Linked DNA regions of Bombyx mori. Each later gene encodes a partner of the first gene's protein in a complex. Links are inferred from orthologs where the notes say so. Each region holds a gene or a part of one and is shown on either strand. Other genes may lie near its edges.

Evidence for each region.
Region 2: cdk8 (region 1) and mediator of RNA polymerase II transcription subunit 7 share a complex: the UniProt entries of both Caenorhabditis elegans proteins name them as parts of the mediator complex. The link is inferred for Bombyx mori from reciprocal best matches to the Caenorhabditis elegans genes cdk-8 and let-49.
Region 3: cdk8 (region 1) and mediator of RNA polymerase II transcription subunit 31 share a complex: the UniProt entries of both Caenorhabditis elegans proteins name them as parts of the mediator complex. The link is inferred for Bombyx mori from reciprocal best matches to the Caenorhabditis elegans genes cdk-8 and mdt-31.
Region 4: cdk8 (region 1) and mediator of RNA polymerase II transcription subunit 21 share a complex: the UniProt entries of both Caenorhabditis elegans proteins name them as parts of the mediator complex. The link is inferred for Bombyx mori from reciprocal best matches to the Caenorhabditis elegans genes cdk-8 and mdt-21.
Region 5: cdk8 (region 1) and mediator of RNA polymerase II transcription subunit 18 share a complex: the UniProt entries of both Caenorhabditis elegans proteins name them as parts of the mediator complex. The link is inferred for Bombyx mori from reciprocal best matches to the Caenorhabditis elegans genes cdk-8 and mdt-18.

Annotation. Positions count from the first base shown.
Region 1 is NC_085129.1:10,511,672-10,517,937, reverse strand, and holds the start of cdk8 (cyclin dependent kinase 8), read right to left. Parts: upstream 3,613-6,266; 5' UTR 3,375-3,612; coding exon 3,129-3,374; intron 2,474-3,128; coding exon 2,222-2,473; intron 1,595-2,221; coding exon 1,405-1,594; intron 726-1,404; coding exon 512-725; intron 434-511; coding exon 265-433; intron 1-264. Other genes in the region: uncharacterized protein LOC101736423, read left to right, coding at 5,187-5,310. UniProt on the Caenorhabditis elegans protein: Component of the Mediator complex, a coactivator involved in regulated gene transcription of nearly all RNA polymerase II-dependent genes.
Region 2 is NC_085119.1:10,080,134-10,086,246, forward strand, and holds mediator of RNA polymerase II transcription subunit 7, read left to right. Parts: upstream 1-2,145; 5' UTR 2,146-2,345; coding exon 2,346-2,531; intron 2,532-2,603; coding exon 2,604-2,872; intron 2,873-5,345; coding exon 5,346-5,550; 3' UTR 5,551-5,677; downstream 5,678-6,113. UniProt on the Caenorhabditis elegans protein: Component of the Mediator complex, a coactivator involved in the regulated transcription of nearly all RNA polymerase II-dependent genes.
Region 3 is NC_085122.1:5,745,571-5,751,883, forward strand, and holds the start of mediator of RNA polymerase II transcription subunit 31, read right to left. Parts: upstream 3,723-6,313; 5' UTR 3,412-3,722; coding exon 3,396-3,411; intron 3,320-3,395; coding exon 3,230-3,319; intron 2,848-3,229; coding exon 2,678-2,847; intron 1,674-2,677; coding exon 1,527-1,673; 3' UTR 1,502-1,526; exon of another isoform or gene 1-1,501. UniProt on the Caenorhabditis elegans protein: Component of the Mediator complex, a coactivator involved in the regulated transcription of nearly all RNA polymerase II-dependent genes.
Region 4 is NC_085122.1:11,556,502-11,562,833, forward strand, and holds mediator of RNA polymerase II transcription subunit 21, read right to left. Parts: upstream 4,021-6,332; 5' UTR 3,132-4,020; coding exon 3,090-3,131; intron 3,012-3,089; coding exon 2,733-3,011; intron 1,944-2,732; coding exon 1,818-1,943; 3' UTR 1,022-1,817; downstream 1-1,021. UniProt on the Caenorhabditis elegans protein: Component of the Mediator complex, a coactivator involved in the regulated transcription of nearly all RNA polymerase II-dependent genes.
Region 5 is NC_085121.1:5,595,415-5,601,653, forward strand, and holds the start of mediator of RNA polymerase II transcription subunit 18, read right to left. Parts: upstream 4,109-6,239; 5' UTR 3,790-4,108; coding exon 3,697-3,789; intron 3,258-3,696; coding exon 3,123-3,257; intron 2,838-3,122; coding exon 2,633-2,837; intron 2,363-2,632; coding exon 2,250-2,362; intron 87-2,249; coding exon 1-86. Other genes in the region: exosome complex component RRP4, read left to right, coding at 5,080-5,204, 5,278-5,515, 5,597-5,731. UniProt on the Caenorhabditis elegans protein: Component of the Mediator complex, a coactivator involved in the regulated transcription of nearly all RNA polymerase II-dependent genes.

The DNA.
Region 1 (6,266 bases):
AATAAATGAATGTCATCATTACATAATGAAATCAAAATATTTAATGGTTGGTTTTTACCATAGAGGGCAATTTTGTGAGCCCTTACCAGTAGATACCTACTATAATCAAGATGGGATAGCATTTATAGTACAGTTGGAAATTTAACTTGTTACAAGGTGGGTGGGATTAAAATTGTGCATTTATAGGGTCTAATATTCCTGACTTCAGGTTGCTCATCTATCCATTCAGATCATTAAGAATTCAAAAACATTATAATATCATACTTGAGTAGGCAGTGGGTCTTCAGCAAAGTATGGATCCTGCATAGCCTGTTCTGAAGTGATTCTTTTGTTAGGATCCATCAGTAAAAGTCTTTGTAATAAACTAAAAGCTTTACTATCTGGCTTAATCTTATGCCTGTCCATATATTTGCTGAGTGAGCAGTTCTGGTAGCTGTAATGAATATGAACATATTAAATTTAATTTCATTTTAGACCAATGCATCCTCAAAATATTTGTTTTTCAATTTACTTTGATCTCTTGAAATCCTTAACTAGTGTTGCATGTTCTGGCATTTTCCTTATATCTTCCCAATCTTTTTCAAGTGGAAATCCCATAACATTAAATATTCTATCTAGTTGATCATGATGATATGGATTGCTTGTTTTAATGTCTTCTTGGCGACAATGGAAAATAGGTTCAGATGTTAATAGTTCTGCGAATATACATCCTATGGCCCAAATATCTGCAAATAAATGAGATTTTCTTAAATTACTTTTTTTTTTACATCTCTTTTGACTTGGTTTTAAACCGTGGCTCTACACATTTCGTCCAGGAAAAGTATCAGTATGAATACTTTCACTTTAAAAAAAATCATGTCAATCCATTGGTTTGTATTGACGTGAAAGAACAACATTTTAACATTACAATACACATATAATATTTTGCACCAATGAGTCTATACTTCATGAGCTCAAAATAATTGAGTGCCGCCTTGGCCTACTGCAGTCCCATATCCTGATATTTTTGAACAAGTGTCATGGGGTGGGAATCTTTCTATATTCTTCTTCGATTACATTATATTTTATGTTTACAATGAACTACTGATATGGTATGTAGTTCACAGAATGCACAATTACCGACCGGGTTTACTGAAATTTCAGATGAATTTTAGCTATGTTAAGTAACAATCCAAAAATGAAAATAGTATAATAGTTTTTATTTTCTAAGCTTTTTGGGATTTATTTAAATAATGATGAATTTAATAAAGTGCTACCAAGTTGTTAATTCCATGCTGAAGAGAAGGTGTTTTACCTGCCAAGTGTAGACGTCAATTAAGTAAAAATTACTTAAGTAAGTAAAAGGTAAGTACTTAATTTTATGTGGCTGTAGGTGAATTATTGTAAGAGTAATAAAATATATACCTATGGCCTTAGTGTAATGTCTGGCACCAAGCAACAGTTCAGGAGCTCTGTACCAAAATGTGACTACTACTGGATCTAAGTCAGCAAGTGGTTTCAAAGGTGCATTGAATAATCTTGCAAATCCCATGTCAGCTATTTTAACTCGGCCACGCTCCGGTCCTTCACCCATTACTAATATGTTGGCTGGTTTCTGGAGTATTAATTGTAAATAACATATATTGATATTGAACAAAAATAATATTTATCGATTCATTAAGTTTGATTTATGGTACACCAAAATAATCTATATATATAAAAATAATTGCTGTTCATTAGTCTCGCTAAAACTCGAGAACGGCTTAATTTTGGTCTTGAATTATTTGTGGAAGTCCAGAGGTTTAAAAGGTAGATAAATATGAAAATGTTCGGAATTAAATAAAAATAACAATTTTGTTTTTCCTTTGATATGTCCCCCGTCGGACGGATTCCTTCTGTTTGTTTTAAGTTTATTTTATGCAAAAGTTTGGGTCTTTTATTTATCGATTGAGGCACTACAAAGTCTGCCGGGTCAGCTAGTAATAAATAAATAAAAAAACAACAAATGCACATCATTCAACACAAAAAGAGATTAGTAAGACTGCCGTCCTAGTCTTTCTAATCTCTTCCAGGCCAACAGTAGAATTTCTATCAATTATAGTAATTTATTTAATATAATATTTATTATACTTTTATATATTATGTTATCTAATTTAGTATAAATTACAATTTCAATACAACATGAACTCATAGTATGTGAACGATTCATCATTATAAATATTACTATATACATCACACTCACCAGATCTCGATGCAAAACCCAGTTTGAATGTAAATAATGTATCCCATCCAATATCTGATAGAGGAGGCTCTTCACCATTCCTTTTGGCACCATAACTGATTTTTTATTAGCTTTAGCTGCTCTATGAAATTTGATTATATGCCACAAATCATGTTCTGCATAGTCAAATAGCAGCCAGACTTTTCGGTCAGTATGTGAAAGAAACACTCTAATAAGATTTATGACATTAGGATGTTTCAACTCTCTTAATAGCTAGAAAATAAATTGTTACACGAACTTTTTTATTATGATCTAAACCACACTACTATATTGTAGACCGAATATGAAGTAGAAAAACAGCTGATAATGCAATGTTTGTTTACAGTACACAATAATTATACAACACAACACAATCAAAATAGGTGTAATATCCCATGAACATATTATTTGAAATAATAATAGAAACAAGAATCAAAATATGCAAATTTTTTACATGGTGATGGTGAGTGGTTACCGTCATCCATGGACTTCAGCCAGGGGCTTAGCCAAGCCCCTGCCTACTGTTAAGTACTCTCCACAGCCCTCGTTTGAAGAAGGGCATGTCATAGCGCTTCGGAAACACCATGAAGGGGAGCTCATTTCAAAGCCGTATGGTACATGGCAAAAATATGTATGGAAACACACTGTGGATGAACTGAGTGGCTCAAGGTAGTGTGGACAAACTCTATTTCGGTGGTCGGCGGTGCGATGGTAAAAACGAGATGATGGAATCATTTCAAACAGTTCCTCATAGCACTCCCCATAGAACATATTATTATGGTAATAAATTCACATTTATACAGATATAAATTATTTAAAATTTAAAATTTTTATTTAAAATTAAAAACAAATTACTTAAATGAAATAATTATGTTGTATTTATACTTACAGCAATTTCCCTACATGCTGACATAGAAAGTCCAGTTCCTTCAATTTGTTTCAAAGCATAATCTTTGGTATCGGAGCCATCCTTCCTTCTGGCTTTATATACATGGCCATATGTACCTCTACCTACTTTACAGCCCTCATAGTCGAACAAGTCTTCCACTTTGGAACGTTCATTTTGAGTCTTGATTTTGAAATCGTAGTCCATCATCACAGCCGCCATGGTCTTATTTTGAAAGTTGTCTCCCATTGTTACGGTCGGGAAATGCAGTTTGGATCCCTGACTAATTAGGATTTATATTTTATTACACTTTAAATCATTTTGAATACCTTCCCTCACAAGTTATATACAAGACGTTATTCACTGAGCAAGTAATCACTACGTTATAACATTATTCTCCGTGAATTAGTGAAAAAGCCGTTATATCTAGTTCATGAGTGCAAATTATATCTATACTAGCCTAAATCTTTAAATTAAAACACTAAAACTAGCTTAAATAATTAAATTAAGTTTCATTCTCAAATAAATTAAGTGTATAATCTATGGTTTCATCTGCTTTTTTTTAAGTGATTTTATGACCTGGTAACTAAGACCTTTAAGTCATGTCTTATTTTAATTTATATTCTTATTTTTATGAAAAATGATAATATGGAGGGAAATGAAATGAAAATGATTAATCAACTGGGATGAAATTAAATGAAATGAGATGATATAGGATGAATATAATCTTAGTAAAATGGTGGTCATTTACTAAGATTTTTTCAGTGAACTTTTTGGAGGATCCCGAGAAGTTGCGTCCAGCGGCTTTGTTTCATTTTCCCACATTTGTGCACTTTCACAGATATTAAACAGTTAATAAACCACCGTTATTACACATTTAAACTTGAAGAAACACTAAATAGACAAAATAAAACAAATCACACAACTTCACTCCTCGCGTTCCCGCCAAAAAGTTTAAGTTTCATCTGTGATCATTAAAGTAGCCATATGCATATTTTTAAGGGATTTTACGACCTGGTAACTAAGACTTATAAGTCAAGTCTTATTTTAATTTAATGAAAACTTTTGTTTAATATGAAAAATTATAGAAATGAAATGAGATGAAAACGAAATGAAATACAATGAAAACGAAGTGAAATGAAACGAGATGAAATGATATGGGATTATATTTCAAATCTCAGTAAACTGGTGGTCATTCACTAAGACTTTTGAAGTGGACTTTTTGGAGGATCCCGAGAAGTTACGTTCAGCGGCTTTGTTTCATTTTCCCACATTTGTGCGCTTTCACAGATATTAAACAATTAATAAGCCACTGTTAATACACATTTAAACCTGAAGAAACACTAAATAGACAAAAAAAACAAATCACACAACTTCACTCCTCGCGTTCCCGCCAAATTATTTATGGTAATTTATGTCCGGGTAACTAAGACCTTTAAGTCATGTCTTATTTTAATTTATATTCTTATTTTTATGAAAAATGATAATATGGAGTGAAATGAAATGAAATGAAGACGATTGATTTGTAACATTAATCAACCGGGATGAAATGAAATGAGATGATATAGCATGAAATAATATAATCTCAGAAAAATGGTGGTCATTTACTGAGATTTTTTCAGTGGATCCCATATCATCTCATCTTATTTCATTTAATTTCGTGCCAATTGATTAATGTTACAAATTAATCATCTTCATTTCATTTCACTTCATATTATCATTTTTCATAAAAAAATTATAACCGATTAAGGTGTATGGTATGATACTTTTGCCTTCATAGTTGGAAAAATATAACTACTACTACTACTACAATACTGTTAATTGACAGTTGCCAGTGTCAATATGTCTAAATTTATCTGTGGTGTGGTGTCAAAATAAATTCACTTCGCAATAGTCGGACAATGGTCAGCAGGTTTATGGATTTCATCTTTATGCTTAAACAAATTTGTTTACTAGTCTTTGTTATTAAATAAACGTGTTCATATTTATCAAGGTAAATAATTTCATTTTATATTATTTAATGTCCAGTCCAGTGTGAGTTGTTACACTTTAGAAGTCACAATGGAGGACCAAGGGAACAGTGATGAAAATATAGTAAACGCAATTGATGTTTTAACGAATATGTTTGGAAACATTGTGAGTAATGATGTGATTGTAACTATTGCTGAAAGCTGCTGCGGCAATCGTAAGTAACTGATATTTTATGTTATTAAATGTACCTTGTACATACCAGGTACTTAGGTCCTTTAGTAATTGCACAAACGCTACCCCATCCCCAGGTAATCGCGGTATTGATTTTCCACCCTCTGATTGCAAACATAAATAAAGCTATCGATAGATGCATGGTCCCTGGCTGTTGTCAATAACAACGCATTCTGGGAACCCAGTTTAAGGGATTGGTTTCCATAGCAACACTCATTAACGTAGTGATTGATTGCGTAGCAAATTTTTTGTTGTGTTGAATTACTGCTTTTTATTTTGTTTTTTAGTGGTGGACCTTTACAATTAGTTGGTTAACTTGTATTGTTTTTATTTATTTGTCCAAAATAGAGTAGAAAAATAAGCATTTGCAATTTTATTAAATAAAATAGTTTTTAACATAAACTTAGGTATTATAATTTTTGTAAAATAATGTTTATGAATATATGTTAATTTTGTTTTCATTCCATTTCTGTATATAATGACACTAAAACTCAGACAAAATGTTAAGAATCTATTCTATTTCTTTCTAAAGCATAACAGTATTACTTAATTTGGGAATTAAATTGATGTAATTTGTGAAGGGACAGTAATTAGTACTGAAATCTATTACCCTCTTCTAACATAATGGTAATAGATGTTATTGGAGGAAAAATAATAATAATCTGAATAGTAAAATAAATAAAACACAAAAACGAAATGGGAGTTATTTAAAAGAGAAGTGACTAGTGCCTGGGATAGAGGTGTTTTCCCACTCCACAACATCACCCAAAAGGATGATGGGAGATCTAATTATAACAACAGAATATATCTCCTTCCACCCCAACAACCCCTCCTACCACCCTGCCATTTTCGTACTGTTAAATTGTTCAAACACAATTGAAATTACATTTAAACTGCTGTTGCTGGGATAAAAAGAAATTAAATTGTTTGGAGACAGTT
Region 2 (6,113 bases), on another chromosome or scaffold:
TTAAGATGTTGATCGAAACTTTTCGCTATCAAGCCGTGTACCGATACAACTATTGGAACAATGATGGTTGAATCAACATGCCATATGGCGGTAGTCTCGTGGGCCAGGTCTAAATTTTTTATTAATTTGTCCTTTTCTGCCTTCACGAGGTTCTCGTCATGAGGAATGGTGACATCAACCAACACTGCTCGACGTGCAGATCGATCTATTATCACAATATCAGGTTTATTGGCAACAATATACCTATCCGTGATAATAGATCGGTCCCAGTAGAGCGTAACATGACCATTATCAAGAACTGGTTGAGGTTGGTATTGGTAATAAGGTACAGCAGAATCAAGAAAACCATATTTCAGAGCAAGTTGTTGATGGATAATCCTAGCCACTTGGTTATGTCTATGCAAGTACTCGCCGTTAGCAAACCGAGAACATCCAGAAACAATATGTCTAATAGACTCTCCCGGACGGTGGCATGCCCGACAAATGTCGACCGTCCCATCCTTTAATATAATATATTTCCGGTAGTTGTTCGTCATGATAACTTCGTCCATAATTGCAAAGATAAAACCTTCAGTTTCCCCAAAGAGGTTACTGAATCGTAACCAGGCCACGGAAGCTAATTGGTCTACATCAGGCCCTGTGAGAGCCCGGTAGAACCTACCGTGTAACTCCTTGCTCCTCCATACGGTTATGCGATCTAAAATACTCTTATTATTATTATTATTATTTGGTATCTAAACATACCTATCTCACACCATGTTTATTTAATGAAAAATTAAATGGAACTAATTATGAAAAGAAATTTAACTTGGATTAAAACTGAAGAATTTTTTTATAAATTATATAAAATATACAGATCAAATAAAATAATTCATAAAACTTACATCCCGAATTCCTGCCAAAGGTCTGCTAAATTAGATATTTTATTTCATTTTTCATTTTTTATTTGGGTTATACAATTACGTATGAAATGTAAATAAAACTACTTTTATTGTCTTTAGCGAATAATTGAATTTTTTCAAGTCTTAATAGTTGGCGCTACTGCAAAACATGCTGTCTGTGGCGGGTAGCCATCATACAACGCAAGATGATTGACGGATGCCTGAATCTCGCTTACGACATTTTCAAGATAAGGCAGAGCTCGAAACTTAGGCATCCGCCACAGAAAGCATGCTTTGCAGTAGGGCCAACTATTACTGTAGATATACGATAAAGGGAAGATCTTCCACCGAGCGGGTGATAATTGCTCTGTAGACCGACGGTCCGAATGTTGTTGTTCGGAACTTGTATATAAGCAAGCTGATCTTGAAAATGTCGTAAGCGAGATTCAGGCATCCGTCAATCATCTTGCGTTGTATGATGGCTACCCGCCACACTGTCAAACTGCAGTTTCGTGTATCCACTTAATCGCAATCGCGATGTGCCTTTTAATTTTTTTTATTTTTTATTGCTGAGATGTGTGGACGAGCTCACAGCCCACCTGGTGTTAAGTGGTTACTGGAGCCCATAGACATCTATAACGTAAATGCGCCACACACCTAAAATATTGTCCTCTGTATGAGAGCCTACTGCTATAATCCAATTGATCCAGCTCAATCCAGACACCAGAATCTTGCAAAGTTATAATACACTTAACAGATCTTAGTTACTCATTGATTTTCTTGTGTGATACATTTTATGAAACCATTTTAAATGATTTTATAGACACACCCCACCCCTAAGTTTGTTGCCAATCTTTCCTGTAACATCCTTAATAGTTAATTGTCTCCACGACTTGCGAAAGCTAAAGGAACAAAGCCCATAAAACATCTTTTTTATTTTATTTATAAAAGCCAAATTGTTTACATGAAATTTCTTTTTGGTTATAAAACATCAAAAATCTTTCGACAAAAATCAGTTCGGGATTTTTTTTTTCTAAAGGTTCATTGAACACTCAGTACATTCTCAGAATTTTAGCGAAAAATTACTTCACTTCATTTTGTCCACACTTACGGTGTTGTCATAAACTCACCTCTAAATTGAAGTTCATTTAACTTTCACAACACCTTCGACCTTGGTGGCAAAAATTGGAATATATGAGCTATGTTCCCTTTGCTTATCCATAAGGCCAATCAAACAAAAAAAGCATACTAAAGCATAGATTAAACACTTATTTTTTAGAAAGCATAGACAAAGCTCATAATAATTCATACATTTCATACTGTAGTGTGTAAAGTTGTTTTAAAATAAATTTCTTCAATTTAACACAATATTTAAGAGTATGTAAATCTTTTTTTGTAAATATAGGCATATTCCGTTTTTATTAAGTGTTTGCTAGAATCGTACGTACGGATTCCCGGTTCACAATGTCAGAGACAGCTCAAGTTAGCTCTTTACCTCTGCCTCCAATGCAATATATAAATTTTTACACGGATGAAAATGTTAGAAGAAATAGAGCTCCTCTACCACCTCGACCTATTCATGATTCTTATTCAATGTTTGGTAATTCTTTTAACGCTGATGATGCTATTATACGTTCGTTAGAAAGCCAGGTAAGTCCTAAAACAACTAGTTTACAAACACAAATGTTTATGTAAATAATTCGTTGTAAAAAATTCCTTCAGGGATTTCGAAGATTGTATCCTATGCATTTTGAACGAAGAAGAGAATTGAAGAAACTTAACCATTCACTGCTGGCAAATTTTCTGGATTTGTTGGATTTGCTTGTTCATTGTCCAGATTCTCCAAAGAGAGCAGAAAAAGTAGAAGACCTAAGTTTGTTATTTATTCATATACATCATCTTCTAAATGAATTTAGGCCACACCAAGCAAGAGAAACATTGAGAGTAATGATGGAATTGCAGAAAAGACAGAGGGTTGAAACTGCAGCAAGGTACTATTAATAGCGTTAATTTGTCATATGTTGGTGTTTCTACTATATCTATACTGGACACCAAGGAACCATTCTAGAAAATAAAGATAGATCTCAGATCACAAATGACAAAATAAAAAAGATGCCAACATAAATATTTAAGTTATGTTTTTGCCACACACATGATATAACCATTAAGTGTGTGACTTATCCTTTATTATTTTAGGCTTTAACATTATAATATGATCTTTAATTGGGTGGTAATGTGAAAGTCTGATTTAAATTTCACTGGTTGGATTTTCACTGGTTGGAAACATTAGGTGCCACTAGTGATTAGACATTTTTATCTGTTACCACAGTACCTTCATGATTGAGATTCCCAGACATTTTGCCCATCAATGTTATGTTAATTTATTTATAATTAGTAGAACCTGAATAAATTTATTGTGTTTAATCTTACCATAGGCTGTTAAACACAAAGTCATATTAAGTTCTCCCAATGTTTGATATTGAAGCAGAATAATGAAAATCAGATTTGTAATGAGTTTAATTTTTTTTTATTTTTATTGCTTAGGTGGGTGGATGAGCTCACAGCCCACCTGGTGTTAAGTGGTTACTGGAGCCCATAGACATCTACAAAGCAAATGCGCCACACACCCTGAGTTATAGTTCTAAGGTGTCTCAGTATAGTCACAACGGCTTCCCCACCCTTCAGACCGAAACGCATTACTGCTTCACGGCAGAAATAGGCGGGGTGGTGGTACCCACCCGTGCGGACTCACAAGAGGTCCTACCACCACCAGTAAAAAACCTTAAACTTGTCTCAATAAAAAAATTTTAGTATTCATAATGTCATATCATCTTTTTCAAACCAAAATCTGCCCTCTGCACTTTTTAGAGATTTCCAAATTTGAACTGTTTTGAGTAATATACAAAAATATTTTAATATAAAAAAAAAGAAATTAGCAGATATTGTTTACTGATACTACGAGGGCGGCACTGAAAATTTCGGGAATTAACGAAGTGACGAAGTTACTATTTAAAAATGTATTTATTGCTTATCGAAGTATTCTCCGCGAAATTTGACACATTTTTCCATACGATGGAACCAATCATTGAAGCAACCATTCCATTCGGAAGTTGGGGTCTCCAAAATGGCCGTTTTGTAGGCGTCTACAGCTTCTTCAGGTGATGAAAATCTCTGTCCACGCAATTTATTCTTTATTTTAGGGAAAGTATAGAAATCATTAGGGCTTAGGTCGGGGCTGTACGGCGGATGGTCTAATAATTCTATGTTTTCTTGCTCTAAAAACTCTTTTGTTCTGTGCGCGGTGTGAGAACTCGCATTGTCGTGATGGAGGATGATGCGGCGGTTGCAGTTCTCTTTACGGAGTTCAGAAACGACCTGTGGCAAACAAATGCTAGCATACCATTCTGCATTAACCGTTCTTTGTCCCTCAAGAGGAATAGTCGTAACATGGCCGGTTTTGGAGACAAACGTGGCCACCATTTTTTTTGCAACACTCCGTGAACGAACAATTTTTGTTGGCTTTAACTCATTTTCGAACACCCAAACTCGTGACTGGTTTTTTGTTTCGGGTTCGTACGCGTATATCCAGGATTCGTCACCTGATACAATGTTGTATACAGCATTTGAGGATCCTGCGTGGAATCTTTCGAGAGTTCTGACGCACCAAGTAACGCGAGCCGCTTTTTGCTCTTCACAGAGCGAATGCGGTATCCATCGGGAAAACAACTTTTTTACACCTAATTGTTCATGCAAGATTATTTGTATTTGACTCATGCCAATGTCTAAAGTTGCCTGAATTTCGCGGTATGTCACATGTCGATCTTCCTCAATCAGCTTACGCACAGCATCAACGTTTTCTTGGGTGACTGCAGTTTTTGGACGACCTTGAAGGGAATCATCACTGAGCTTGACACGTCCACGTTGAAACTCAGCAAACCAGCGATAAATTGTGGTTTTGGATGGGGCTTCATCACCAAATACAGAAATCATCCGGTCAACACACTGTTTTTGTGTTAAACCACTTCGAAAGTCATAATAAATCATCGCTCTTGAATTTTCTCGAGTCAATTCCATTTTCTCAACGACTAAACAAGTTTGACAAAACCTCGTGACAAGACCGAGAATCTTTTTTAAAATAAATAAATGGTATTCGATTTTTAAAACCAAGGAGTTTTCAATTAAAAAGATTTTAATATGACAGGAACAGTAGAAATATTCCATTCCCGATACTTTTAGTGCAGCCTAGTATATTATAACACAAGATTGAACTCGAAAATTATTTGTTGTTTATCGTCGTGTTTTTGTGGATGGACAGCTGTTACCTTACAAGTTAAATTTCCATTCGGACCATTGTTGCTTGACTTTGGTTTAATGTGTGAATTCTCTGAAGCAAAAAATAGACAAGATGCTGGTATCCATGGAACCTAATCCAGTTATAAGAGCTAATAAAGTCTGTTCTTTCAGATTCAAGAAACACTTAGACAAGGTACAGGATATTTTACAGAATGCTCTCCAAAGCTTACCAGATCAAAATGAATTGGAATCAAATTTCAAAGTGCCAAATGAATTGTTGGACCAAATGGAAAATAATACTTGCAATATTCAAAAGGCTGATCCCTGCTTTGAATTAGATAGAATTATGTGCAATGTAGTTGATAATATGAGATAGTATTTATGTGAATTATGGCTGACTGCTAAAATCCATTACTCAATAAACAACTCCAATACTTAGGATTTAGATTTATGTGAGGCAATTGTACTAACAATTATTATATTAAAAGTATTGTAACCATCTACCTCAGTGTATTAATGACTCCAGATTGTAGTAGCCACTATGGGACAGTGGTTCCGGAAGTGGCGCATTGACATCAATCCCACGAAAAGCACAGCGATGCTCTCCAAAAGGGATCGCCCTCCGAATACCACTTCGAGCAACCCACTCCCTAATAGGCGGGTTAACGCCTCCGCCGTTAGCCCCATCACTCTGGCCAGCCCATACCGTGGGCCTCGAAGGTCAAATATCTAAGCGTCACCTCGACAGGGATGACATTCCGACCCCATATCAAAACGGTACGCGACCCTGCCGCCTTCATATTAGGACGCCTCTATCACATGATTTGCAAGCGAAGTAAATTGTCCCTTCGTAATAAGGTGACACTACAAAACTTGCATACGCCCCGTCGTGACCTATGCAAGCGTAGTGTTCGGTCACGCGGCCCGCACCAACTTGAA
Region 3 (6,313 bases), on another chromosome or scaffold:
GTGACAAACTGGTGTAGTACTTAAGTACAAATTTTCTACCCTTTCTTATAAAAGAAAGGGTAGAAAATTTGTGTACGACGTATATTGCTTCATTATAAAACAGGGGAAGAATGATATGGAAAAATTAAAACAGACTTCGGAAGCAACAAAAACATCAGTGAGTACTGTTAGGTGCATTATTAACGAAGCTAAAGGCTCTGGCTTGCTCGCCGTGTTGCGGACTCCGGGTAAGAAAAGATCAGGGAAGAAGAAAGTTACCGGAATGGATAGTTTCGTTCAATGTGTAATAAAAAGATGTAATCATAATAACTACATAACAAGCAGCGAAACTCCGTACCGTCGAAAGGCTTCGAAACATTTAAAGAAGATTTAAATTTTAATGGCTCGGAATGAAGCTTACGACGAATTATGAAAGAGCTAGGCTTCAGATGGAAAAAAAGAACAGAAAATAATCGGAAGCTGGTAAATGAAAAAAGTAACATTCGATTACTACGAATCGAATATCTTCAAAAAATAATTAATTATAGACAAAAAAGAAGACCGAATCGACCGAGTTGTAAACTACGCCGATGAGCCCTATGTCGACTCATCACGATGATAGCGACTCGGGTGATGAAAACAGTGATGATGATGATGGTCAAGATTATGATAACGGAAAAAAAATTACAAATACCAGCTTCGCTTCAACTGAACCAAGACCTGGCAACAGCTCTAGTTTTGACTTAATAGAAGGAATATCTATTTTACCCCAAGATTAAATTATTACAATTATTAACCTATATGTTTTGTTAATGTTCTAATAAATATATAAATAAATACATATGTTCATTTTAATAATTTAATAGCATTATGACGCAGAGTAAGTAATGTTTTTGCACGTGAGTGTACCATGCGCAAACTTACCCCCACTACGTCAACAAATGCTCAAGAAGTTTGCCGGTTATTATACAAAGGATTTGTTTATGTTCAATCAAATAAAATTCGTTTTGAAAAACGTTCAGTGCCCATTTCAAGTAATTAAATATATTTTTTATGAGTAAGACTACGTATATTTTACTACTACACAGAACAAATATTTTAATATCAGCCAAATTATTTTTATAACATAACAAAGAGGTTTCATTAACACCCATTTAGATAATTTAGAGGGAGATCTTTGTCCCCCGGTGGGACATCCTACTAGAGGACATGCCCAATATTTTTTTAACATTATTATACACTACTATCTGTACCCGTCCGCTTCACTGGGCATTTAAAATTAACATTATTATTTCTCACCCCCACAAAGATTCACATCATTAACGCCCCCGCAACTGGTGTAGGGAGTCCAACACTCATATAATTAGCCTATCCATTATGTACATGTATTTTCTACATGGATAACAAGTTCAAGTCAATCGGATGCATGGTTCAGTAGTTATAACGGAACATCCATAAAAACCACTGTAGATTTATTTATTAAGTATAGATTTATAAAAAGTTTATTTTATTTTCCACTCACTTCTAAAACAACAATCATGAACATCCTAAGTTTGTTGTCTTGGTGGACCTTGTTGTGGCGGTGCGGGCGGCGCAGGAAGCGCCGGTGCGTCCGGCGGTTGTAACGTGCGTGTACGCCGACGAGTATAATGTTGCCATAGCAATATTGCTTGATCGTCCATGAATTTGCAAACCTTAAGGAAAATATTAATCATTCATTAATGAAGATATTTTGAACAGTACCTATCCATCAGAGTGATCTAAACACAGGCTTTATTTAAAAATTGTAATACATACAAATTATACTGCTATCGGATAAAATTAAAAGCGGTATTTGGTCAAGGGCCAGTTTGGCACAGTCATAAATTTTATATTTGGTAGAGTACAAGAATAAAGCACAGCTACTAATGAGGTGGTAAATAAAAGCCAATAAATTATAATAATATGACTTTTGCAGTAACTTGTACGTGGTCATTAACAATTACCAAATTTATATTCTTACATTCAAACTAGCTCAATTTCATTTGCATATTTTTTTTACTGTTGATTTGTAAGTCAAGCTCTGTTTTGGTTTTAAGCCCATAAACATCATACTGTGAAACCTATAAATCATAAAACTATATCAGAAAAAAAAAAGGCCAAGTAGTGTTAAGTTGTTACCTGAGCCCATAGACATGTACAAAGTAAATGCCTAAACAAAAAAAAATACAATGGCTGCCCCACCCATCAAACCGAAACACATTACTACTTCACTGTAGAAATAGGCAGGGTAGAGGTACCTACCCCTGCGGACTCACAAGACATCCTACAACCAGTAACTACACAAATTATAATTTCGCAAGTTTGATTCTTTTACTAGATGGTGTTATTCCTTAACTGTGGAAGTCAATAGTGAACATTTGTTTAGTATGTATCTCATTATAATAATTGGAACCTGCCTGCAGGATCTGAACACCTTTGTATCGCTTGATATGAATGCGTCAGGTCAGCCTGAGCGATAAGCCTTCAGGCCACAACAAACCTTCATATAAACACTACTTCAAAAACTGGACCAAGGTGGTCACGACCCTCAGCAATGAGGAAACGACAGAGAAGAAGAAGAAGAATGTTTATCAGCGGACTTAAAACCTATGGCATTATCTACCGCTCAAGCAAAGATTATATGGAAAATAATTTAGTAGGTGCAATTTGTACTCACTTGTGCCGATACACATTCTCTTCTAAATGCTTCATGTTGTAATAACTCCAAAAAATGCAAACACATGGGATACTTCAAATATCTAGCATATTCTGGCTCTCTCCAATATTGCAAATATTTAAGATAGTTTACAAAAGTTTGTTCTTTAAGATAACCTCGCTGTGCCAAAACTGTAAATAGACAGAGTTGACATAATTGACATCCATTACACATAACATTTAAAAACACTGGGCAGAAAAACATTTAATCACAAAATAGACGATTAGAAACTAAGTCACAATAACAAAATCATTAAACCGGTATGAAAAATACCTAACAATTTATTACTTATTTCCCTCTTGTGATGATTTGATGACCAACTTGATAGCTTCAGATCAGTCATCACATTAAGTTATCATTATAAGTTTCCATAAGTGTATGTATGCAGTGAGCAGCATTAGCCTGCATAAGTTCAAGTGGCAACATTTACATTATGATGTCTATGTACTCTAGTAATCATTGTATACCAGGTGAGTGTGAAGTCTAACAACAAAAACCAAAAAGGCAACTTACAGTGAATGTAATTTGGATTTGCTAAGCACTGCACAAATTCAAGTTCCACTTGAAATCTTATTCGATTCTGCTCTTCAGTTTCTGGCATTACTGCAATTAAATTAAAGATTATTAATTTATCATGAAATAACAAACTGTTAAATAAAATTATTTCATTCTTTCTTACCTTTTCCAGCCATCATTTTGAACCCGAAATATATGCAGCTGGAGTATTTAAATTATTCAAAATTAAACAAGTTGGTCAGTGGTGTACGTCTCAACAAATCTATGACCAAAATAATAACATATTTTCAGGTTACACAAGACAGTTCATTTTATCCTTATATAAATATGTGATATTTAAGATTTTATCATTACTAAAATGTTACACAGTACTTAGTAAGCTCTTAAAATTTTTAAATTAATTAAATCACATAAATAAATTTGTGTATATATTTTTTTCCGAGTCCTACACAACGTAACACAACTACACAATACTACATAGATTATACACTTAATATACATAGATTATACACTTAATATATACGAGCAATACTACACTACACATTAAGTTAGTCTATGACTATGATCATCATCCTACTTAGGCTTAATATTTGGCCTAAAGGTACTATACCTAAACTTTTTGGCGGGAACGCGATGAGTGAAGTTGTGTGATTTGTTTTATTTTGTCTATTTAATGTTTCTTCAAGTTTAAATGGGTTCCTCCAAAAAGTCCACTGAACAAACCACAGTAAATGATCACCATTTTACTGAGATTATATTTCATCCCATATTATCTCATTCCATTTAATTTCATCCCAGTTGATTAATTTCTCAAATTAATCATCTTCATTTCATTTCACTCCATATTATAATTTTTCATAAAAATAAGAATATAAATTAAAATAAAATATAACTTAAAGGTCTTAGTTAACAGGTCATAACATCCCTTAAAAAAAATCTGGTTTAAATGTTTAATAGAGCTGGTTTATTAACTGTTTAATATCTGTAAAAGTGCACAAATGTGGGAAAATAAAATATAGCCGCTGAACATAACTTCTCGGGATCCTCCAACAAGTCCACAGAAAAAGTCTCAATAAATAACCACCATTTTACTGAAATTATATTTCATTCCATATCATCTCATCTCATTTCATTTCATGCCATGTTTCGTATTAATCAGCTTCATTTATACTTAATATCATTATTATAATATTATTATATATATCAAATAGATATAATTATTCTTAAAAAATCCTGTTTATAGAGTATAAGTATATATACTAAGTTTATTCTTCTATATTAAATGAATTTCTACTAAATGTCCCTGCAATATATTTCTTGAACTTATAAATAATTATCATTTCAACAAAAACAGATTTTGTGTGCATTATATTTACATTTTTTGAACTAAGTATGAATTTAGGAATTATTAATTTTATTATAAAATACAAGTATCTTAACTATCTCCTATTGCATGGTAATGAATAGTATCATTAAAAATAACTGAACTGAAAACCACGCTAATTGTACTTTAACGACTAATTGACCGTCTTCACTCTTCACCGACATTTTTTTGTTGAATTATTGTTGAAGTTTTCAATATTTTTTTGATCCACTTATGAAATAATTAGACAGTATAAACCATAGATTATACACTTAATATATGTATAAACCATGGAGTTAATAAGTAGTAACTCTATGGTATAAACGCAGTTCTTCTTCTTCTTCTTTATTTTTGGCTCTGGCACGTTTTGTGCATTAGCCAGCGTCAAGTAATAACGTTTTTATAATTCGCCGTTTTATTTATTTACAGTTTATAAATAATAAAAAACGAAGGAAACTTATCGCAACAAAACATAAATGATTTAGAACGAATTGAATTTACAAAAAAAATCAGAATAATTATATAACAGGGAAAATAAATCAAAATTATAGTTTAATGTTATTATTTAATATAAACCTACTTAAAATACTATATACAAGGGGATTAAAATCTCGAAGAAGTAAAGAAATATTAGTAGGAAGGGGAACAGAGAGAGATACTAAAGAAGTATATAAGGAAGAATGATCATATAAAGAACAAGAAAAGAAAATATGATTCAGGTCACAATAACTCTCGCCACACTCACAGGCGGTACTAGTTACGATACCAAGTTTGTGCAAATGAACTGGAAGGCTGTTATGTCCCAGACGCATACGAATTATAGTAGAAGTGGCGGTTTTACCAAACGACAATTTGGCAAACCATGGCTTCCTGGGAACGGAAGACTGTATAGCATACAAGAAACGACCCTTAATCCGGCCGCTCTCTTCCCAACACATATTCCACGATTTGTGGAGGCATATGCCGGGCAAAGCAGCAAGATCATGGCCAAAATTCTTGTACGGGTATACGTCACCGGTCACAGTAGCACTGTTGGCCAAACTGTCAGCTTTCACATTTCCAGATATGCCACAGTGACTAGGTACCCAACAAAATGATACTAAATAGTTGTGTGATTGGCAGTGCAACAGCTTTCTCTTACATTCAAATATTACATGAAAAAAAGGGTTAAGTTTTAGTGAAAATTTTGCTAAGCTCTGTAATGCACTTAAGGAATCAGTAAATATAACGGTTTTTTTTAGTTTGAAAGACAGCACATATTCAAGAGCTTTTAATAGTCCAAAACATTCACCGGTAAAGACCGATGATTCCGGAGGTAATTTAATTTTCTGAACTATGTTGTACTGTTTGTGATACACTCCAACACCAACACACCCACTGGAGTGTTTAGATGCATCTGTATAAATTTGATGCCAGTTAGGCCATTTACTATTGACATTGCAATTAAAATTTTCATTGGCATTAAAATCAGATTTTTCAATGCCAAGAGAAAAGCAAATCACTGGAGAAAGTAAGAGAGAATCATAAGAAGCGCCAAATAAAGGAAGCACCTGAAAAGAATGAGTTGGGGCTTGTAATTGTTTGAATTTCAGGAAACTTTTTAACAGACAAGGTAAAGGTTTATGTGAAGAGGGTACTTTTTTAGAAAGAAACTCTAGTTTCGAAATGAGGGGATGATTATGGAACTGAACAATTCTAAAAATGAATCTATCGGACAG
Region 4 (6,332 bases), on another chromosome or scaffold:
AGCATACGGCCCACCTGAGGTAAGTGGTTACCATCGCTCATGGACGTCAGCAATGCCAGCCAAGTCGCTGCCTACCATTGAGCACTCTCCGCAAGTCTCGTCTGAAGAAGGACATGTCAAAGCGCTCGGGAAACACCGCGGAGGGGAGCTCATTCCAAAGGCGGATGGTACGTGGCAGAAAAAATATTTGGAAACGCAATGTCGATGAACGTAGCGGTTCCAGACAATATGGATGAACTCTGCTCCGGTGGCGAGAGGTGTGATGGTAAAAAGCAAGGAATTTCAATGTTCACGACGAAAAAAAAAAAGGGTTGATAGAATATCAGATGCGTATTTTTTTAATTAGCATTTGAGTTAGTAGGTAACAAACCATAAATAGTAATATAATATTCCAAAACATTTAGATGTGACTATTACAGCCAATAATGTTTTTGAATTTATTGTATTTTTTTTTTTGTTGCTTAGATGGGTGGACGGGCTCACAGCCCACCTGGTGATGAATGGTTACAGGAGCCTATAGACCCACCTTGAGATATAAGTTGTAAGATCTCAGTATAGTTATAGAATTATTTTACCATACTTTGTCAAGTCATCCAGCCAATAAGAATTTTATAAATCGAATGTACAACTTACTCGATAAACTTGCTTGTTCCATTAGTTATCTAAAAGCTACAATGATAGTAGTAGAATGAAATGAAGATCATTTATTTGAAATTTTAATGTATTAATATGAAATTAATTGGAAAGAAGTAAAACGAGATGAGATAAAATGAAATAACGTCCCAGTAACAGGATGGGAATTTACTGACGCTTTTTGGAGGAAGCCGTTAAGCCACATATAGGAACTTTGTTCTAATTTCCCACACATGTGCACTTTCAGAGATGCTAAAATGTAAATAAGCTACCATTAATACATATATAAACCTGAAGGAACACTACTTCTACTAAATTAAACTATTCTTTACCATTGAATCAGTATTGAAATTTATACAAATAAAACATTTGATTTAATAAAACACTCTTAGCTATCAACATTTATTTTCAATCATATAGATTTTTTTTCATTTCAAGATTATAGTTTTCTATTTCCAATCTCTAAAGTATATTAATATTTAGATTCGAGTCCATTCCAGCATATACAGGGCGTACAACAAAAAGAAAAATTAAACCTTTAATTAAACATAATAACTTAATTAAATTAATTAAACATAAAACATAAATATTTTTTAATTTAATTAAAACTCATGTTCATCATTGAATACAATCACCTTTACTTTTTCCTTGTGTTCATTTTATTTTATGTATATAGATGAACGAGTTCATCTAATATTAAGAGATTAACATAGCCCAGAGATCCCAGTCATTGCCGCCACTCATCTCAAAATCATCATCAACAACTAACCTGTGCTTCAAAACTGGAAAACAACGGCTTTACAGTATGTATAGGCAGAGTGGCGGTACCTACCCTTTCAGACTTAAAGTATGCCTTACGTAATAATAGAAAATAATGAATAAACAAGTCATGTATACTTAACTATTCAATTATAACAAATGATTACTTAAAATGATATATGTCATACCAATGTTTTTCTTATTATAGTTTCAAAAATATGACATTCAGACAATTTAGTTTTCACCGGCATGAAAGCCCTGTAACAAATTTGCAAACAACAAAAAAAAATCTTCGTCATTAAGCATTAAGATTTCAAACACAAAATTTTAAAATTCATATAATACTAAAATACTTCCGTGTATTCTTGTTTTAACGTATCCTTTTGTAGAGGAAACTACCGTTGGTAGAACCCCAGACCCCATCCCTATAACTGTGGTTTCACATCCTTGTTGAGGATCAGAGCCGGATTCTGCATGTCCAACTGGCACTGAGCAATATCACTCAGAGCACCCTGAATCTTCTCTAGAAGAATCTCTCCTTGACGGACTACCTGTAGAATTATTAAATATTGTCTGACATTATTATTAACGCTAATGAAAAGAGAGTAAGTCATGTGTAATTATTTTCATATCGACGCTTGAAAGGCAAACGTGACTAAGCGACAATAACTGCTTTATACATGATAGGCAATAACCATATTCAATGCCAAAAAAAATATATTTCTAGGTCTATTAAAATCATTTCAATCCTACAGCTAGTTTCGTTAAAATAGAATTTTTTCAGGTATTTCATCTTGAAATTAGTCTACTGTGAAGTTCACGCATTGTCGCTTAGTCACGTTTGCCTTTCAAGCGTCGATATGATTACTTCCAATATTTCAAATACTATAAGTTTTTGTAGTCATGGCAATCTAAAACATGAGATTAATCTGTAAACACCCTATGGGTTTTGAAAATTGAATAAAGTAATATTCGCTGATACAATTCCAGTGTGCCATCTCAAAATGAAGTTAAGGAAACAACTTTAACCAAATCGCTATTACTGTCAATTTTATCTTAAGTAGGTACTAATTTATGTTTAAATATTGGTGCTTGTTTACATTACAAAAGTTGACTATAGACAAAATACAATGTCTGTAATACAAATACTTTCTTGGAATATTTGATTTTACATTCAAATGGCAATACAAAAGCAAACTGCATGGCATAATTACTTCTTTAAAATCATTATTTTAATGGTTTAGTTACATGATAATTCCCAATTTATGATAAAAAAGAAAGCTAGTGTCCTTTGAGATAAATTGCACGTGTATTGGGCACGGAGAGTTGACAGCCCTTACCTCTTCAAGTTGCTCAGCAGCCTCCTTGTTCTCGGCCTCAAGTCGCCGAAGGCTTTGCACTTGCAGCTCAGTTGAACTCTCTTCACTGGGCAAAGACTCGATGAGCGTGTCAATGTCCTTAGCACAACGAGAAATTAGAGCCGCGAATAAAACCGCATAATCCTCTTGACTCTGCGGTTGTTGAGGAGTCTGAGAACCACCGCGTTCGAAGCCTGGGAACTTGCTAGGCAACGAGAACTGCTGTAGAATTCCGATGCTGTTACAAAAATTCTCAGCTTGCTACAAATAAATAAATACAACGTATGTGAAATGTATTAATGTCAATTAAAACGAAATGTTCATTTTTGTCATACGTACTTGGTTTATGGTATCTTGAAGCTGAGTTAAGCGATCAGCCATTATTCAATTCAGATATTTATCCTACTAACCACTGTTAAAATTTAATCCTTATATGGATATTTTCTATGGAAGGTGGTTTTAAGCTACCTACAGTATCAATTTGTAAAACTACCTTTTGAATGAAGTTATTTGAAGTTGAACGTTATGACGTTTTTAAGTAATATTTCCAATATTTCCAGGTGGAAAGGCGAAGATATCACACACCATACATCCTAGTCTTTTGTATGTACATTCTATTCTCTTTCATGAAAAATGATCATATGGAGCGAAATGAAATAAAGTTGATTCATTTGAGACATTAATCTAAAATCCAAATAACTTGAAGTTCTGTAAGGAAACAATTATATTACGATCGTTTAACTTTGGCGTGCAGCAAAACAGTACCTAATTTGGAATAGTAACGCCATTTTAAGCCAGAGATCTTTTTTGCCACGTACCATACGGCTTTGGAATGAGCTCCGCTCCACGGTGTTTTCCGAGCGCTATGACGTATTCTTCTTCAAACGAGGCTTGCGGAAAGTACTTAACGGTAGGCAGCGACTTGGCTGTCCCTGGCATTGCTGAAGTCCATGGGCGATGGTAACCACTTACCATCAGGTGGGCCGTATGCTCGTCTGCCTACAAGGGCAATAAAAAAATACATTTAGAACTGCAATCATTCTCATCAGTATTAAAATTTAGAAAACCATTTCTCCGTTATATACATTATAAGCTAAATAGTAATGTTGCTAATAACAGGACCACTTGACGTTTCGGTTTGAAGGGTGGGGCAGCCGTTGTAAGTATACCTTAGAACTCATATCTCAAGGTGGGTGACGGTATTTACGTTATAGATATCTATGGGCTCCGGTATCACTTAACACCAGGTGGACTATGAGCTCTTCCACCCATCTACATATAAAAAAAATTAAAAAACTTTAATTATAGGCAATGAAATGAATTTCAAAATTTCCTTTATTTAATGTAAGCAGTGTACACAATAGGTAACCATAATATTACCGACTAGAAAAACATCACAATTATTGAGTATTTAAGTATAATAAAAAACCATTAATGAACCTCTTTCATTTCAGACCTTAAACGATTATTTTTAAATTTTAGTTATTCAATGAAACAACATTAACAATAAGCTGGATTCACATTACGGATATAACGAGGTTGTGTGTTCAAACATGTTATTGTTTAATGACTACTACAACTATTAGTCTAATTCAATCTAAGGCAGCTGTGCTATAGTAAAATTGGCAGAACTTTACTAATTTGTAAAAGTTTTCCGTTTTTCTTTTCGTTTCGTGTAAGCCATTTTTTTTACAATCAACAAACACCTCCTGTCGCGCAATAAGTAAATATCAAATCCTCGCGTCATTTTTGTAACAACTAAAATTCATCAAGAAGTTGCGTCGCAGTGTGTGTAGGCTACCGAATAGGTAGGAAAAAAAACTTCCATCACCGCTTTCGCGCTATTCTCGTACGAATTAACAATAAAAGACTAGATAGCTTTCAGCCTAACCTGCACTCTTTAAAAATAACTAAGCATTTGCGGTATCACATTTTTATGATAGAAATCCGCCGTTATCGAATTTAAATTGCTTAGAAGTCAACAATGAAAATTGCTAAATTAGATTTTTGAGTACTGTATGTACATACCCAACATAGCATCTAATTTTTTTATAAATTAAGTACAAAACTTTACTAATAACAGCAATATGAATATAATTCATTAGCATAATAATATAGCAAATAAAAATTCCCACTTTTTTTTGAGTACCTAACTAAATTATCGTTTGTAAAGTAAGAAAGTGAGCGCAGTTGGTTGAATAAACTAGCACTCGACGCATGCGCATTAGTTTTTAATTTTTAAATAGGGTAAGTTTGTCTACCGCCATCCTTGTCTGACAAACGATGTTACGCATTAACTCTCTCACTCTACTTTGGATCTAGGTTTCCATCTTTATCAGCTAGCAACCCCCGTTTGCGGCCACATTTACAAAGACAGAGGTTTTAAATTGTGCACAGAAAAAAAAACACACACACACAAAACCTCGTGATTGTTATTAAAAATGTTTTAAAACAATTTAGATAAATTGTTTGAAAACTTCAAAGCTTCACACTATAGTACCAAAATTATTATCAAATACCTTAAAATTATAGATCTATTCTCAATTTATTATCAAATTTTATGCATAAATATAGTTATAAACATAGCAACAAGTAATGACTATTTACTAAAACTTTTAAAAAATCACACAATGAAATAGTTTTAACAATTCACAATTAGTTTTGTTAGAGAGCATCACAAAGCTTAACTTTTCATTTAGAATCAAGTGCAAACAATCATGCTAAGTATTGGATTTAGCTATAATTAATAAAATTTTCAATCCTCATTAAAGCTTTACACTCTGAAGGGCAAGCACGAATGACTATCGAAAAAGTATTCGTATCTCTATCGAGAAAAAATAGATAGGATTTAAACAGTGCCCCTACTACCGTCCGTTAAAGGAATTAATCTATACTTTTATACTTAATACTTCTATACTAATATTATAAAGAGGAAAGATTTGTTTGTTTGTTTCGAATAGGCTCCGAAACTACTGGACCGATTTGAAAAATTCTTTTTCCATTAGAAGCCGACATTGTCCCTGATTTTATTTTTTTGGTTTCATGTGTGTTTTAATGTTTCCGAAGCGAAGCGAGGGCGGGTCGCTAGTCTATACTAATATTATAAAGAGGAAAGATTTGTGTGTTTGTTTGTATTGAATAGGCTCCGAAACTACTGAACCGATTTGAATAATTCTTTCACTGTTTGGAAGCTACTCTATTCCGGAGTGACATAGGCTATAATCTAGGAATACTAACTAAAACTCCAATAATGTAACCCAAGGTGTAAAAAAATTACCTAAAATATTCTTTACATCGCGTGCCCTGCGAAAACGATTGATGATAGAATTAAATAATGTACTACACCTTGTAGAACACATTATTATTTATAATAAGTGTCGCGACAGGATATGTCTAACTATTATAGTTATGCCGCAATAAGTGTTCTTTTATTTAAAAAAATAAAACAACGTCATATATCGTTGAAATTTTTGTTAAAGACCCGAACGGAGCCGGAGCGGAGCGCTAGTCAGCAATAAAGCAACACGAATGAATTTATTTACTTTAGTTTCGCAATCGAATTGTTACATTCTCGAAACTCAA
Region 5 (6,239 bases), on another chromosome or scaffold:
TTGTCGAGCTGCACTAGAGGCCTGAGTTGGTCGGCGAAGGCTCGCATATCCTCGCCGATAGCGTCCTGGCCTTGTGGTGCAAGAACCTGAATAAGAAAATGAAACTATCAGCAGTTCACTACACCCTTTTCCTTTATACTACTAAATAGGCTCAGCACAGTAAAACATTATATGTCAACTGTCTTTGGGAATAATAGTAGGTGTAATGTAATTCGTGATTGTGTGGCGGGTCATACAACGCAAGATAATTGACAGATGCCTGAATCTCGCTTACGACATTTTCAAGATAAAGCGCATATGTACAAGTTCCGAATAACAACATTCGGACCGTCGGTCTACCGAGCAAATATCACCCGCTCGGTGGAAGATCTTCCCTCCGTCGTTATAAGCTTCCCAAACTGGTGACCTCCGACGTGATGTGAACACGCAACCTTCTGATTCATCATCGGCGCATCAAGAACTTCGGCTACCACAATCCCCGCATTCTCGCAGATAAAAGCAAGTCATCGACAGTCGTCCCACAGCAAGCCAGCATCGCAGCCTCAACAGGACCATCGCAGCCGACTAACCGCGCTTCTTGGCCCTACGGCACGCACCTACACTGCCTCATCGCGCAGCATTCAAGCTCAGTCTCGACTCACCGCAGACTTCGAGCAGCACTGGCGACAATCACGCAGCATTCAAGCTCAGTTTCGACTCACCGCAAACTTCGAGCAGCACTGGCACTTGCAAGCTAATCTCAGCACGGACAACGATATCTAAAAATGACACGACCTCCAGTCTCGGAGGGGAGTGATGTGGCGGGTAGCCATCATACAACGCAAGATAATTGACAGATGCCTGAATCTCGCTTACGACATTTTCAAGATAAAGCGCATATGTACAAGTTCCGAATAACAACATTCGGACCGTCGGTCTACCGAGCAATATCATCCGCTCGGTGGAAGATCTTCCCTTTGTCGTTTAAGCATCCCCAAAATTGTTTAAGTAGCAGAGTTTATATAACATTTTGGGCGCACAATCCTTATAGGACTCAGGACTCACTATCAGCAAATAAAAGTTAGTCTATCATCTTATTCTTATATATTATAGGTACACAGAAAATGATACTAAAATAAGACTTGTAAAAGAATGTCCAATGGTGAGTTTAATGTATTAATTAGTCTTTTGTTCTAACAAACCTAAGGGAACCAAAGATATTAAAGAAGGGTAAAAGTCTTCAACAACTGAAATACACTACACATCACATAACATACATGAAATAAAATAAATCCACATTGCTCTACAAACATCAACTACATACATTAATTATATAAAATCTACTTAATACGTACAAATAAGAAGAAAAAAAAACAATTGAAGCTTATTATTGAGCCTTACTTATTCATGGAAACCTGTAGGTTAGGTTACTTATGTTTTTATAGCTTGAAAAAACCAAGCTGTTTACATCAAAACCAAGCCAGCAAATTAAAAATCTCTTCCTTATTTTTAGTTTATTTACAGTAGATTGGGGAGAATAGAGACTAGAGTTAGAATAGGGACAAATCTGGGATGTCACAATACTCTTGTTGGGTTGTTAGATATAACTTTGTTGCACTGAAGATGACTATTATTTAGTGTTTAAGAATATTATATAGTTTAATTCAGATATCAAAACTTTGTATCTCATTAAAGATATAAAAAATTAATTACCTAAAGTTAGGTACCTACCTAAGAACTAAATAGTGCCAGCCTTATCGAAAAACTCTGTTGTCCCCATACATAGCGTATTTTTTTTATTGCCCTTGTAGGCAGACGAGCATACGGCCCACCTGATGCTGAGTGGTTATCGTCGCCCATGGACTTCAGCAATGCCAGGGGCAGAGCCAAGCCGCTGCCTACCGTTGTATACTCTCCACAAGCCTCGTTTGAAGAAGGACAAGTCAATGAGAGAAATAGCCTCATTCAAAGAGAATCGGGTCAAGCAAGTTTTTTAAGGTTTTGTGTATATTTTGTGACTATATGAACTATATAAAATAATGAATCGTATTTAAAAATTTAAACCTTCGGAGCCATTTTAATCTCAATTTTATTGGTATTACCCTAAGAATAAAAGCATTGAAAATTTGTTTTGGAATTGGAAAGGGTCCCCATTTTCCCCAATCTACGGTACTTAAAGATCATATATAATCATCATACTCAAGCAAAACCAGAAAGCGGTATTGTTTGGGAAATTTGACAAATTATTTAATTGGGTGTCAAAAACTTACAGAAAGCTCCACAAGATAGCTCTGTGAGATAGGTTCAGGTGGCATTGAATTTTGAGAAATCTTAAACACTTTTGCTACAGTAATTTTCATACGACCTTTTCTAAACATGTAACCTGAAATTTAGAATTAGAAAAAGCTTAATGTTTTTTATAAAATTACCGTAATTGATTGATTTTAAATGAACCACTGAAAATTATATGCAATTTAATTAAATCCCAAATCTAGGTAATACTTTAAATTGAATTAGTATTTTTGACTATTGGTCTTCTTTGATTCGTCATTATTAACAATAGTGGTATAGTAATAGTGATGATTTAGAATATACTATCAAATACATGTACAATCATATTACTCATAATTGTCATTATAATAAATATTATTACCTTTTACACTGTATTCAAATTCAATTCGGCATCCTAGCTCATTTAAAAATTCAATGAGCATTCCACTGCAGGCTATATCAAGACTGGAACGGACAACTGTTGGCCTATTTTTGTCCCCCAAATCAGGCTGCCCAATGTATCGTAACTGAAATGGCATGTCTCGAGCATCTAATGCTTTACGAACACGCAACATGAGAGGGGGAGCCTGAAATTTAAATTTATTAAAGATGAACTATTAGAACATGAAAGAAAAATATATAGATTCAGGCATGTCTTTATGCTCACGAATTGTACAGTATTAATAGTGATTACCAAATCATTAGCACTTTTCTTGACCAAACAGGTGACAGCCCAGGCAAAATTTAATCAATTTATAATTTAATACAAGTTTTATTGTATTATAATTTTATAACCATTTTATATTCTAGTGTCCTAAAATAATAATAACATTAACAGAAATATTTTAAAAAGTTCTAAGTATTATTATTACCTGATGATGATTAGGATCCCGTAGACTGAAACACACTTCCTGGTCATCAAATGTTTCTGGCCCAGCATCAACATTGTCACAAAGACCACGTAATCGGTGAAGTAAAACTTCTACTGCCGAGTCCAACACTGAGCCCTTAATCAAATTTTAGTGGAATCAAAAATTAAATGTATAATATTCAACAATTAACAAACTTGACTGAATCTTGAGAAAAGTTGCTGCCTGTTGCCTAATTATCATAATTTCCAGCTATGAAATACTGTAAAATTGAAAATCATTAAATGAATTATTTTTATTTATTAAGAACAGCATTGTAGGCATTGTAACTAAGACCTTATCTCATGTTTTTTTGGGCTGCTATTATATGTAAGCTATGTATGTATGGGTTCTGATAATATTTTGAATGTAGTATGTAAACAGATCAAATGGGTCAAAAGAATTGGATACAATAGCTGCAACTATGGTAATTAGTTCTGTTAAGTATGCAATTTATGGAAACTGTAGAAGAATGTAGACTATATTGTAATTATTCTGAAATTTAAAATAGCTGAGCCACTTCAACATCCTGTAGTACCTGAAGTAAGTATTCCTGATTTGGTATAATGTTCGCTTTTAAAGCTTGCGATAAGCTATCTGTAGCTGTTATAGGTGCAGCGTTTGCCGACATTTTATGGAGCTGAAAATCTGAAAACCTACTTCAATAGCAGCTATTTAAAGATTTAAGTTTTGAAGAACTATGTGTGAGCCAAGAAATCATTACACTTATAAACGACTTTTCTGTCTCATAGAGGTGCATTCAGTCTAAATAGTCCATATAACCGAAACTATAAATATTGCGTAAAATAAAAAACTAGGCAATTTTAAAGGAGAAAATAAATTCTAATTTCTAATTAACATAATCTAAATACTCATATTGGAATTTAACAAGGTAGAGATATGTTTGCAATCGCTGTTAGCTTGACAGTTACTAACAATGTTGACATTTAGCCTCATTTAGGTGACATTTTGTAATTTCCTTTTTCAAATACAGGAGAGAGAGGCAATGGTATCGCATCATATTATCATATTGGTACGGCCGTATTTGTTTTTAAACATTTTTTGTCACCAATGATTCTACATGCGAGGAGTGAAATTGTGTGATTTGTTTTATTTTGTCTATTTAGTGTGTCTTCAGGTTTAAACCTGTAATAACGGTTGTTTATTAACTGTTCAATATCTATGAAAGTGCACCAATGTGGGAAAATGAAACCAAGCCGCTGGACGTAACTTCTCGGGATCGTCCAAAAAGGCCAAAATCTCAGTAAATAACCGTCATTTTAGTGAGATTGTATTTCATCCCTTATCATCTGTTCAGTTCTCGTTCAATCACATGAATGAACAATGAGTGTGAAGAGTTAATCATTAATTTCAAACTATAAAAGAATATTATTTATATTTTACAATAAAATTGTATTAAAGTGCTCCAATATATGTTACTAGTAGTATGTAACTACAATTACTTTTTTTTATTTTCATTACATACCTATAATTGTTATATTTTATACATCTATAATTTCAACTATATGATGTATTGGAAATAGGACAGTCTTACAAGCTTCCTCGCAATGTTTTTCTTAATGTTTAAAACACTCGGTATTCAGTGCAGGTAGATACTATAGGAACATAATATTTCGTCGAAAACTCATTGGTTGTACAAAGCACGCCTAAAATTCGAACCCCGTACCCGATATCGGCAATTCGGCACACTAACTATTCACTAGACAATCGAGGCAATTTCATTAATTCAGGAGTTTTTTCAATCGTTCACTTTGTCACAACACTATTTTTATTTCATCAAAACCTGACAACACAGTAAACGTCAGTTGACTTCGTCTAATAAAAAATCCGACTATAGGTCTATGAGTTCGTTGTACACAATTCACAATTAGCAAAGAGGGAGCTTAAAAAAACATTAGAAATGGTCAGTCATGTATCTATAAAACTCGCATCTGAAAGAGTAAATCATTCGGTTGCCTCAAATAATGACCCGCCGCGTTTTTACACTCCTGGCGAAGTCATAACTGGGATACAAGATTTTATGAGGTCGGTATTTTTTGCGAAAACAATATTGTTAAGAATTATTATTACTATAAATTTAATAATTTTGCACTTTAAGAGGCCACGGAACTTACGCAGAAGATGATTGCCTAAAAGCATCTGTTGCTGGGGTTATGCAAAAAGTAAATAAACTTATATGCATTCGCCCATTGAAGAGTCGTTACGTTGGAGAAATAGGCGATGTGGTAGTCGGAAGAGTATTGGAAGTTCAACAGAAAAGATGGAAAGTTGATACCAATTCACGACTTGATTCAATACTTCAACTTTCTTCAGTAAATCTACCTGGCGGAGAATTGGTAAATTAACGCACACTTCCATAATATAAAGCAATCTTCTTGTATCTAATGATAACTATTTATATATTTTTTTAAATCCAGAGAAGGCGTTCAGAAGAGGATGAGCAGATGATGAGAAAACATTTACAGGAAGGTGATTTGATAAGCGCTGAAGTACAGAATGTATTTTCTGATGGTTCGCTCTCATTGCATACAAGAAGTTTGAAATATGGCAAGGTAATCAGATTTTATGAAGCCAATAAAAAATGACTATTCTAAAGTTCAACAAGAATGTTATAAGGAAATTAAAAATATTCAAATATGTAGCAACATTAAATTTTGAAATCCTCCAAAGTGAAGATGATATTTATCCTTCTGAGTAGATTAAACATGCTTCATTAGCAAATTGATTACAAGTCTACACAAACACTTAAATCTGCTTTAATTCACTACCTATATGTTTAAATAAATAAAATCAAGGGGCGTAAGGCTATTTGTTTTAAGTGACACTTCGCTTACTACATGGCATCTATCTGTGTAATTAAAGGTAAATTTTATTTGGTATTAGTTTATACAATTAATTGTTTTTAATTGAACACCAATTAAGTATTCTCCATTGAAATAGCTGGAGAAGTTTTGTCATGTTTTTTTTTCAATTTTTAAATTACATGACTTTCCTCTAAACCAAATAGCCCTTCATACCTTAAAATAGAATCATTCATACAGTCCTCTAATAATAATTAAT